Notamacropus eugenii: one gene and its partners. The protein of the gene in region 2 purifies or fractionates together with the protein of the main gene of each other region. This does not show direct contact. Links are inferred from orthologs where the notes say so. Each region holds a gene or a part of one and is shown on either strand. Other genes may lie near its edges. The genes, in order: EHMT1, CBX1 and ZNF644.

What was found.
Region 1: the proteins of CBX1 (region 2) and EHMT1 purify together in Homo sapiens (affinity purification with mass spectrometry; 3 studies listed by BioGRID and IntAct, with this or other methods). This does not show direct contact. The link is inferred for Notamacropus eugenii from reciprocal best matches to the Homo sapiens genes CBX1 and EHMT1.
Region 3: the proteins of CBX1 (region 2) and ZNF644 purify together in Homo sapiens (affinity purification with mass spectrometry; 3 studies listed by BioGRID and IntAct, with this or other methods). This does not show direct contact. The link is inferred for Notamacropus eugenii from reciprocal best matches to the Homo sapiens genes CBX1 and ZNF644.

Annotation. Positions count from the first base shown.
Region 1 is NC_092872.1:494,739,133-494,742,877, reverse strand, and holds the start of EHMT1 (histone-lysine N-methyltransferase EHMT1), read right to left. Parts: upstream 2,924-3,745; 5' UTR 2,887-2,923; coding exon of another isoform or gene 2,866-2,886; exon of another isoform or gene 2,862-2,865; intron 2,517-2,861; exon of another isoform or gene 1,949-2,516; intron 1,932-1,948; exon of another isoform or gene 1-1,931. UniProt on the Homo sapiens protein: Histone methyltransferase that specifically mono- and dimethylates 'Lys-9' of histone H3 (H3K9me1 and H3K9me2, respectively) in euchromatin.
Region 2 is NC_092873.1:353,057,163-353,060,907, forward strand, and holds the start of CBX1 (chromobox protein homolog 1), read left to right. Parts: upstream 1-872; 5' UTR 873-1,015; intron 1,016-1,096; 5' UTR 1,097-1,160; intron 1,161-1,533; exon of another isoform or gene 1,534-1,857; intron 1,858-3,095; exon of another isoform or gene 3,096-3,214; intron 3,215-3,745. UniProt on the Homo sapiens protein: Component of heterochromatin. Recognizes and binds histone H3 tails methylated at 'Lys-9', leading to epigenetic repression. Interaction with lamin B receptor (LBR) can contribute to the association of the heterochromatin with the inner nuclear membrane.
Region 3 is NC_092873.1:502,641,156-502,644,900, reverse strand, and holds the start of ZNF644 (zinc finger protein 644), read left to right. Parts: upstream 1-988; 5' UTR 989-1,191; coding exon 1,192-1,340; intron 1,341-3,745.

The DNA of each region.
Region 1 (3,745 bases), on a different chromosome or scaffold from region 2:
ATGGGCTTACTACATCCTAGTAGACACTGAACTACATGACTATCTAAAAGACCCCCTCCCACTCTAAGAATCTATGATTCTAGAAGCAATATTCTGTGAACTCTATCCCAAATAAGTAACATATTGACAATAACAGAGTTTCTCCTCTTCCTATCTCTTTATTTTTTGTTTTTGTTTTGTTTTTTGGTTAAGACCTGCCACTTAATAAATGTAGGGAACTCCCTTTGAGGAAATTGCATCTATCAAAGCCAAGAAGAAACTGTTTTACAATTTATAGTCTTAAAGAGTTAGCTGGGGCTGAGGTACTAAGAGGGTAAGTGATTTGTCCAGGTTCTCAAAGCCAGTCAAATCAACTTCTGACAGAGCCTATAACTTAAAACAGAAGAAAAGTTTACAGAATAAACAAACAATCATTTTTCAAAAAGCCAGTACAACAGTACTGACCTTGCAATGTCTAACAAAGGTAATTTTCAATTTTGTTTTAGATACACCTCATTCCTTTATTCTACAGTCAAAAATATTAAGCATCTACTAAGTGCAAAGCAATGTACTAGTCTTACTATGCTAAGCATTTAATAAGCCATTATTATATGATATGATTAAGAATGTACTGGAGAACTAAATTGATCACCATATATACACATACATATGTATACATGCATACATACATACACATATACATACATGCATGCTAGAGAGACAAACAAAAAGAGACAGAGGAGACTCACTCTGGAGAAACAATCTGATTACCCTAACAGATAAAAAGGGTGGGCCTTGGAGTCTGGAAGACTTGGGCTAAAGTCCAGCCTTTGACACCTACTGGATAGCTGACCATGTGTAAGCCTCAGCATCCACCAGGTAATTCTATCAAACTATAAATTTCAAAAACATTGTTGATCTTCATTAGTACAGGCAGTTTCCACACTAGATAGCTCCCCAGAGATGAAATCACAAGTCCAGACCAAAAAAGAAAAAAGTATTGTTATTTCTAATAAGCCAACATAGTAGGATTTGGTAACCTATGGCACAAGATAATTATTTGGTAGTATGGCTGCAGAGGAAAGATGGGAATGTCAATGGATTCATAATTATATAATGTTATAGAATATATTAAGTATAGTCCCCAAAATGCTTCCCCTAAGATAGATACTGCAAGTATTATGCCAATTTTACAGATAATGACATTGAGGTACAGAAAGGTTGACTGACTAAACGCTATAAGATTCAAGAAATCAGGATTCAAATTGTGGTCTTCTGACTCCAAATCTAGGGCTCTTTCTATAACATGATGCCTCCAGAAGCCTAAACTGGGAAGCATTCTCTAAGTGCCCCTTTAGGCAACTGAGATTCACCGGGTCCCATACAAAGATTAAAATCATTTAAATAAGACTATGTGAGCACTTGCAGAGGGACTTACGTAGTTAATTCCATACACCAGGCTATCAACACCTAACAAATTGACCTTTAAGGTCAAGTTTCAAAAAAGATCCCTGAATATAGATGGTAGGCGATTTGTGAGGCTGCCTAAAATCCTAACTTTCTCCCTAAAATGAACACTAATAATTTTTAAAAGGGGGGGAGGTATACTCAACAAGCCATCAATATTCTATGCCCTAGTGATAAGGCCTTAATACAAACCTTAATTTTGCTAGCTCTACCTGTCAAAAAAAAAATCACTTCCCTATCTGTGACAACAAGCAAAAGAGAAAGCCAAGTTTGTCTTCTGACTAGATCGTGATCAGTTTAATCTCTAGGTAAAAGTTGAGGAATGGTACAATCTTGCTTTCCTTAGTCCTCAAAAAGCAAAAGTATTGTAGCCATGAAGTGTTATTAGATTTATACCCACCTATTCATTAAAGGTGATCTGCAAAGTACCAGTACATAAATGAAAGAACAACACAAGGAAATACAACTCAAGGGAAAAAGAGGTAAATCTCCATTCTCTCACCTAAGTTTTCCTTCAGTTTCAAGCTTGTCTTGAGTACATTCGGGAATGGGCCTAACAGTTCCCATCAACAGACCCCATCTTCCTCTCCACTGCCTGCCCCTCTACTCTTTTGTCTTGAAGGCTCTCAATCCTTTCTATGCTAGGCCTAAACCTTGAAACTGCTTCCCACATCCCGCAGCCCAAGAACTCTTTCAGACACACAGATGTCAGCCTCTGTCCTATGATTTACTTTTAACTTTCCTTTCTGGTAGTACATCAGGGCTCGTGTTTAACAGGCCTAGATAGGATGGGATGGAAAGAGATGAGATGAGATGAGATGGGATGGGATGGGATGGGATGGGATGGGATGGGATGGGATGGGATGGGATTGGGGGAGGGAAGGCTGGGAAGGGGAGAAAAAAGAATGGGAGGGGAGGGAAGACCCTTGGTCTAGAGGAAAAAGTATGGGGGAGGGGGAAGCCAAGCCAGGGCATCTTCCCCAGCCTGCCTCGCGGGCAACGAGGGCCGGCCTGGCGACGAGCGGGGGAGGGGTGCCCGCCCGCGCGCCCAGCCGGGCCCTTAACTCCTCGGGCGAGCGACCGGATGAGTGGCGGCGCGGGAGCAGCGACCGTCCTCGTCGTCGTTCCCCGCCCCCCCCATCCCAGCCCTGCGGGCACGCGCGAACACACACACGCACGCACACTCGCACGCACACACACACACACACACAAAGCGGCCCGGCGCGGGCCGATCCGGCCAGGCCCGGGGGAGGAGCAGCAGGGCCGTTGGCGGCGGTCCCCGGGCCAGGCCTAAGCCAGAAGAGGCCGCGCCGCGCCCCGCCCCCGCCTCGCTTAGCCGCCAACGGCCCCGCGGCCCCCGCCCGCCCGTGGTCCCTCCGCCCGTCCTTTCCTCCCTCCCTCCCTCCCTCACTCACCCACCTCAGAATCCGCGGCGGCCATGGCCCGGGTGCCCCGACTGTGGCCCCGCCCCCGTCCCGCCTCGCGCACACGGGCCCCGCCCCCACGGCGCCCCGCCTCTGATCCATATGCCCCGCCCTCACGCTGCCACACGCACACCGAGACCCGCCCCTCTCCGCAACCGTTCGTCCCCACTAGGACTGAGGAAATGAAGGGAGCCGACCTACGACAGCAAGCCGAGTGCGCATGCGCAGTCGACGCGGCTGTTATGACGGCCCCCAAACTTGTTCTTCCGCACAGCTGGAGTGCCACGTGACTTCGCCGCACGCCAGAACCAAGTACGTCACAGGGGGTAGAAGGAACCTGGGAGGCTCGGACTGGAGTTGAGATTACAACGCTCTCTTCCAGCTCCGAGCAGTGAGAGCGCCCAAGCTTGCGAGTGAAAAGTTAATAAATGCTTGTTTACCGAGTCCCCCATGAAACTATTTTCACGGCAGAGAACGAGAGGGTAGGCATGGAGCGCGTCGTGACGCATCCTGAGCCTACATACTTAGCTCTGCTCGGCCCCCAAGCCGTGCAACTAACCTTCTGGAGAGGCCTTAGCCGAAGCTACAGGAAGAGGAGGTCCATGATCACAAAACCACCCCACGCGCATGCTCTCAGCTAGCTAGTCAGGGAAAGATGGTCATCCCCATTGTACTGATGGGAAAACTGAGGCCTTGAAGCCCGGGAATAAGGGTGGACTCACGCCTGGACTCCAGCCCAGGGCTGTTCCCCCACCAACACCACCTCGTGCTTCCCTCCTTCCCCCAGTCTTGGAGAAGTCGCTGAGAAGTCTGCTGCCTCCCCGCGCCCCAGCGGGTAATCGGCCCACGCCGCGGCTCCCTGCCGCCCTCTGCAG
Region 2 (3,745 bases):
GAACCCTATTCCCGCTACAAATTCCAGCCTATTTTAATTCAAACCTACTACACATTACCACCTGGCACTCCTTTTGAATTCTACACCCACCAAACTGGACTTCTTTGTTCTTCATCAGGGACATTTTATCTTCGCCGGGTTCTCCCCCCCTTTTCCCAGGAATGAATTCCCTTTTCAACTCTGAGACTCAAAGAATTTCTAGTTTTATTCAAAGGAAACTGAAACTCAGTTGCAGCTCAACCCTCACCTCCTATTTGAGGCTATTCCCGATCCCATCCAGCGCTAGTACCTTGAGCCCTAAATATGGTTACTTAATTACCTTTTTCGTTACTTTGTATACATTTTTGACAACGAGGAAGCGGTGTTGGTAAGTGGGGAGCGAGTTGGTCTCAGTCAGTTTAAATTCTACTTCAGAACCCCGAGGTAAGTTGCTTAATCTCCCAACATTCCAGGCAAACCGTTTAGATTTATATCTTAATAAATATGCCTCTTACTTTACAATAGTATAATATGTCTTAATTTGTAATAAGTACTGTAATTATTTATTACAGTAATCTTAATATAGAAATTACAGAGAACTGCCAAGACGTTTGAATTCACAAGACTGGTTCAAAGGCATATGTGAATGTGTTTCTACGTCTAGATCGTCGCGAGCAAAGGGACAGTTGCACTTGTCTCTCGGTATCCCTAGCAACCTGCCCGGTCTCTAGACGCTTAATAAATGCTTGTTGCTAGATGAGTTGATTACACGTGCCACAATCCAATCAGACAGTACTAGTCCCTGGAGCCGCTACCCAGAGCTTGGAGCTTCGTTGGGTGACGTCACCACGTTCCTTCCCTCGCAGTACCCTGGGGCTTGTAGTCTGGGAGGGACTTCAAGTTCCACACTGCCCCGCGTTGGGTCGCGGCGCCTGCGCGTTGCGCGCGGCGGGCAGAGCTGAGTACGGGGCTCTTTTGTTCCGCGGAGCTGGGACGATTGGCTGGGCCCGGGGGAGCTTCGCTTAGCCTATCTTAGGTGAGGAGGGGCACCAGGCTCTAGCCGCGGCCGCCGCTCTTTCTGGCTTAGACAGCTCATCCTCCTTCTCGCTGTCCCCAGCCTCCTGCGACGCGCTAGCGGCGCGACACCGATTCCCCCCGGGTTGAGTCGACGCTGCTCTGAGGTAAGGAGGGAGGGGTGTGTGTGTTTGTGTGTCTGAGAGTGTGTATATGAGAGGATGTGTCTGGTGACACTGGGAAACCGAGGAGGGGGGCCCGGGGGGTGGGGAGGGCTCTCGGCCGATGGGAGTAGGGCCGTTAGGAACCCGGCGCGCGGGAGGCAACCCCCACCCCCTCCCCCACTACTCCCCCAGTCCTCGGTCCCTTCCCGCGCGCAGACCCCGGGAGGGGGCGGGGCTCGTGGAGCGCGCGCGGCGCAGGAATCCCGAGTCGGAAACGGCCGGTGTGGTGGGTTGGACCCCGCGCGTGCTGGGGGCGCTTCGCTGGTCCTAGTTTCTGGGGTCCTTGGTTAAGGGGCCCCCTGGCGAGAAGGAATGTGGCCCCGGGGCTGTGGGGGAGGAGGGGCGGAGCTTTAGCTACTTTAGCCGGTATTGTTATTACCCGCTACTCTGTAAAGGAAAGGGGGTGGGGCATAGGTGGCATTGAACGCCCTTCTTCTGCCCCGGTGGGGAGGAACTTGATTTTTTGTAGCTGATGCATGTTGATGCTTTTAAGAAAAAGACTTGAGGTTTGAATAACGTCCAGGAATTGAGGTCCCATCTCCAACTGTAGATTATCTCCAGCTGATGCAGTCTGTAGTGTGTACATGGTTTGCAGGTTGTCCACTACACGTGAACTCCAGGAGAGCTTTTCTTGTGCCTGGTAAGGGGAAGGCGCTTCATAATTGCTTGTTGACTCGACAGATAAGTGGTTGTGTATTCGTGTTGTCCCCCACTGTGAGCTCCTTGATGGTAGAGATTTACCCTTCCTCTTTCTTTTGTGTCCCCGGAGCGTATAGCGCAGTGCCTGGCTTCACTTAATAAATTCTTATGGACGAAGCGTTAAGGCAAAAAGTTTGAGAACCCGAAGTTCTCTTGCTTGATGTACTTCATGCTAGCAACTAGCAACGAAATTTTGAAATAAAATTCCACCCATGTTACATTAGAAGAATCATTTCCAAGGCAAATGCAATAGGAAAGTGAAATGAACTTTTCATTACGACGTTGCCCCTTTCCCCCATTCCAAGATATTTTCCACAGAAGATTGTAGCGGAGATCTTGTGCTCAAGTTTTTCGTCAGACTTCAGGGTGAGGAAGACTTGGAGTTGTTGAATCCCACCTTTAGATGTTAGCTGATTGATCCTGGGCAAGTCCCACAACCTTTTTTCAGTCTCAGTTTCCTGGTCTATACAGTTGTATTCGATGGCCTCTAAAGTCTCTTCCAGCCCTAAATCTGTGATCTTTGGGAAGTCCCTTCTGCTTTCCCTGGATCCCTGGATGGTGGCCTTGCTTTCCATCGATCTTTGGTGGGAAAGCCTAAGTATTGGTTTACCTGATAGTCCAAAACATGAATGGAGCCATACCCTGGGGCTTTGAGGCCTTGAATTGTATTCCTCTGTTCAGCCTTTTGTCTGACAAATTTGGGCCCTGAATGGCTGCTGGTGACGTTAAGGTTTTGTAACTACCTTCTTTGGAAAGAATTGCCCTGGTAGATAAAGTGTGTAGAAGAGGATGCCTTTTCTTTATGCCCTTTTTGTAAATTTAGGTGGTTCTTGGGAGCCAAACCTGGGAAATCTTTGAGAACCACTTTACACCTCTTTTAACCCTACCCTGAAGACTAAATTCTAGTTCTGTTAGGTTTGTATGCACATATTAGCAGGAGGCATCCTGTCTGTGCCTTTGCTGGGGCTGTTTCCTATGCCTGGAATGCAGTTTCTCCTCACCTGAGCCTCTTCGAATTCCTAGCTTCCTTCCAAGCTCAGCTCAGCATCACCTATTACAAGAGGCCTTTCCTACTTTTTTTGCCTTTGCTAACCTGTAGTATGTTCTGCCCTCCTATATCTTAAGTATATTTTGCATTTATTTATATGTGTATATGTTGTTTCTCCTGTGGGATGTAAGCTTCGTGACTGCAGGGGGCCTAACAAATGCATGTTGATGGATGAAGCTACCTAAGGGCAATGATTTCTGCCCTTTATTTTCACTGTTGCCTCCAAATGAAGAGTCATCTCTGCAGTTAGGTGAGTGTCTGAAAAGTCTGAAAGTGAGTAGAAGCATGTGATAGATACTGTGATCCTCCCTAGAAGCCTTCCAGACATTTATATGGAAGTTAAAGGAAGCCTCTGGTTTTGTTTTTTTCCTATAATGACATTTTTGTTCCCAATAGCTTATATATTCCGAATTGTTTTTCTTTAAAAGTGAGTAGAGGATATGGAGGATAGTGCTATAGCCTATGCCAGGTTCTTGATAAGAAAAGATGTGCCTACTCTTTTCTTCCTCTGTCTTTGTACCTGTGGTTAGATACCTGAATTTTTCTAACCCCTTCTGGACAAACGATATTGAAATATACCAGAAAGGAATTTTCTAAATGAGAGAACTTAAGTACACCTTTAAAAGAGGATTGCTATATAATGTCATTTTCAGAACAGTAGGTGCAGTTTCGTTCACTAGTTAAAAGCATTTGTTAACACTTACTACATTCTAGGCATTGTGCCAGGTGTTGGGGGTACAAAGAAAAACAAAAAAGTCCCTGACCTATCCTACCATACAGT
Region 3 (3,745 bases), about 150 Mb from region 2:
GCTCTATCCACTGCACTACCTAGCTGCCTTATAATGGATGAATTAAATATTAAAAATTTGAAAAATGTGGTTTACAGCATATACTGATCAGTCAGGGCCTTCTTCCAGATTCTCCTCAGTTTGCTCAGTTTATCTATTCTCTACGTGCCTGGTTATTTCTGTGTTGTCTCTAAGCTCCCTGCTGGCAGGCATAGTCTGGCTTTTCTTGGCACTTCCGGCGGCGTCTAGGTCCCGCTTTTCTTGGCACTTCCGGTGGCGTCTAGGTCCCGCTTTTCTTGGCACTTCCGGTGGCGTCTAGGTCCCACTTTTCTTGGCACTTCTGGCGGGTCTAGCAGGTTTTCCTGGCCTAACCTCGGCGTGTGCGGCAGTGCCCTGGGGTGCAAAGAGCCGTCCATGAACGTGGCCTCCTGGGAGGGGAGGCTCATTAATGAACGCGGATGGAAGGAGGGTTTCCTTCAGAGATGCTCCCGACGCCGCGTCCTCACGTTCCTCATTGGTAGGCTCCGGAGCCGCTAGGTAACTCTAAGCTTTTTCTTTTTAGTGCCCCGTTTTGGCCGCGTCCCAGGGTGGCGGCGGGCCGATAAAGCTTGGGCTCCCTGCGGGGCTTGGCCTTTGGGCCTCGAGCCGGCTCGTGGTCGGCCGGTGCCACAGTGTTTGGGTGGCCCTCACCGGGGCGGCCGCCTAGCGGAGGGTGGCCGAGGCCGCCCAAGGCAGCCGGGTGTGGGATGGGGGAGGCCGAGGCGGGCAGCTCCTCCAGCACGAGGCGGCGGCGGAGGAGCTTGGGGTAGGCTGAGGGGACGGCCGGCCAGGCTGAGGCGGGAAAGCTGCGCGCCTGCGCACTGGCGTCCCGGGCCGGCGGCGAAGATCGCTTTGCTCGCGCAGGGAGGTCCCCCTCCCCAGCTGAGGCGGCGCGGTGCGTACAGGGCGGCGTGTGACGCGGGGACGCTGCGCGCTCGCAACGTCGCCTCGGTTTGACGCACACGGCACCAAACTGTGAGTTTGGGGGGGGGGGATTGGTCGGACACGCCGGCCCTCCAGCGGGTTTCGGGCCCTAGGGCTGAGGCGGCGGCGGGCCTGAGGGCGGCGGCAGGACTCGGGCGGGGCCGTCCCCCCGGAGCCGGGGCCCCGACCGCGGCGCCCCAGGCTGGGTCCCTTCCATCCCAAAGGACGCGTTTTGCCGCACAGGCTAAGATGGCGGCGGCGGCGGCCGAGGAGGCGGAGCTGGTGCGGCACAAGGAGCCCGGGGCCGGGGTTCGGGGCCGGGGTCGCGGCGGCGGCGGCAGCGGAGGAGGCGGAGGTCGCGGGCGCGGGCGCGGGCGCGGGGGGCGGCGGAGCCTGAGGTGAGCCGGGGGCCGCGGCGGCGGCGGGGCGGGGTCGGGCGGGGCGGGCCGCGGTAGCGCTGGGGGCTCGGCGGCGGCCGCTGCGAGCGAACGAGCGAACGGACCGACCTACACAAAGGGACCGGGCCGGGCCGGGCCGGACCGGGGAGGGGGGTGTTCTGTCACATGAAGCGGCGCAGCCAGTGAGCGGCGCGGAAGAGAGGGAAGGGGCCGAGGCCCGGCGGGCGCCATTGCCGAGCGCCGAGTAACGGGGCGGCGGCGGCCCCCGCCCGTGCCCGCTCCCCCTTGCCCTGCCGAGCCGGGGGGAGGGGGTCTCCTCGGGCCGGTGTCCGGCCTCTGGGCCCCGGAGCTCTGAGAGAGCCGGCGGGGCCCTTCGCCGCAGCCTCGGGTCGGCAGCCCCCGAGCGGAGCCGGAGCGCCGCGGGCTCTCGGGGCGCCGCCGGACGCGGATTCCCGTAACTTTGGTGGGAAAGTTTGCTCCGCGCCCCGGGGGAGGGTTTGGGAAACTTTTCCTGAAGGGGACGCCCCTTGGTGCGGGGTCCCTGAGATGGGGGGAGGCTTTCCGGGGAGGACGCGGGGACCGGCCCTCGGGACCCGAGAGATGGGTAGCGAGGAGGCGGCTCTTGCCCCGGAGTAGTTGGGGAGACCCCGGGTGAGGGACGGAGCTCTCCGAAGCCGGCCCGCGTTTTGTGTCGGAGACTGGACGGAAAGGTTGTGGATCACCGGGCGCAGTCCGCCCCTGTCCCCTAGTTGTCCGAAGAGCTTTAAGGGTAGAGGGTTCAGCGGCGGTCATCCCTCACGTCATTTACCCCCTAGTCAGCCTGCGGGCGGAGAAGCCCCTGAGAGACGTGTGTGGTTACTGCACTTGGCAGAGAAAACTTCTGGTGACGAAGGAAGAAACAGAACAGCCGCTTCCTTCAGAGGTCCTTCAGCGGAATGCGCTAAAATTGCCCCCGTCTGTCGTTCCAGTCTGAGAAGTTTAGCTGCTTAATTCATCTCCCCCCCACCCCCGCTAGAAATTTTGTCGGGACTGCTGAGTAGGAGACCCTTTGGCACTCCGTCACCCAGAAGGAGTCAAAGAATTAACGGCTTTGAGGACTAGCCGTGTAGTCTCATCTCCCGAATTTTAAAGATGAGAAAACTGATTACCAAAGTGTTTACTGGTGGCCAAGCTGGCAGAACTAGTTAGTGGGAGAGAACGTCTCCCAGAGGTGTCATTGCTTCCTCACCGCTGAAGTGCACCAGCATTAAAATGTAATTGGGAAATGTTTAACAGTAGAGATATGCAGTACCACTTGGGTAATGTTAATTTGTGGTTTTCAGGGATCAGTTCTGTTTTGAGCCTAACACCACTCGATTCTAGAGTATTTGTGTCTTTTTGTCTTGCTTATCAATGCTCTATTGATTCCATGCCTCTGTGATTTAAAAATGAAATTTCCACCTGTAGTAAAACTATTTCTAGGGAGACAATTACAGGAAATGATAGTTGGCATGTAATACTCTTATACTGATGAAAATGTGACCTTACAGAAACATGAAACCTTTCAAGTTTGATTTTGTAGGATCACTTTTAAGAAGCTTTCAAAGCAGAAGCAAATTCACATGCTATTTTACATATAATAGACACTTGTAGGATGTTTCACATGTAATCCTGACTTCTCAGAATGTTTGACTGAACTGTCATATGTAAAATCCTTTTTGTTGATTATAGAGGTAGAGGAGCCACAGTGTAGAGGCATTCACACCTGATTTAGTAGAAGACCTGGACTCAGGTCACTGACATTGCAGTTTATACTTCCAAGCTCTAGATGGAGGTGCCCATATCTTCAGTTATTAGTTGCTTATGCATAAAATTTCCATTAAAGTTTTATTCTGAAGCTTCGTTGTTGTGTGAAGAGGAACTTGGGTTCCCATAAGGATTTGTCTTACAACCACTGCTTTGCTCTTAGAGGCTTAAGGTTTGCAAAGCTCCAAATTCCACAGAAGTATCCTGGAGGAGTATATGTTACCTGAGGAACAGTCTAAGTTTAAAGTTGCTAGTCACCAGGTTAGCTCCAGTGTTCCCTGTTACCTCTAGAAGCAAAAGCCCTTCATAATCTCACTCCAATCTACCCATCAGTCCTTATTCTTCTGTCTTTTTCTTCGACCTGTACAGTATGGTCTAGCCCAGGGGTGAGGAAGGGTGAAGGTGGCTCAAGTTTAGCCCTTTGACTGAATCCAAACTTCACTGAACAAATCTCCTTAATAAAAGGATTTGTTCTCTGTCCGAAGGGCAAACCCACATGTGGCCTAGAGGTACAGCTTCTGCATCCCGGTAGCCAAACTGGCTTACCACATTCCACCTCTGTGCCTTTGCACTGGCTGTGACGTCCATACCTGTAACTCATTTCCTTCGTCAAGCCTTCT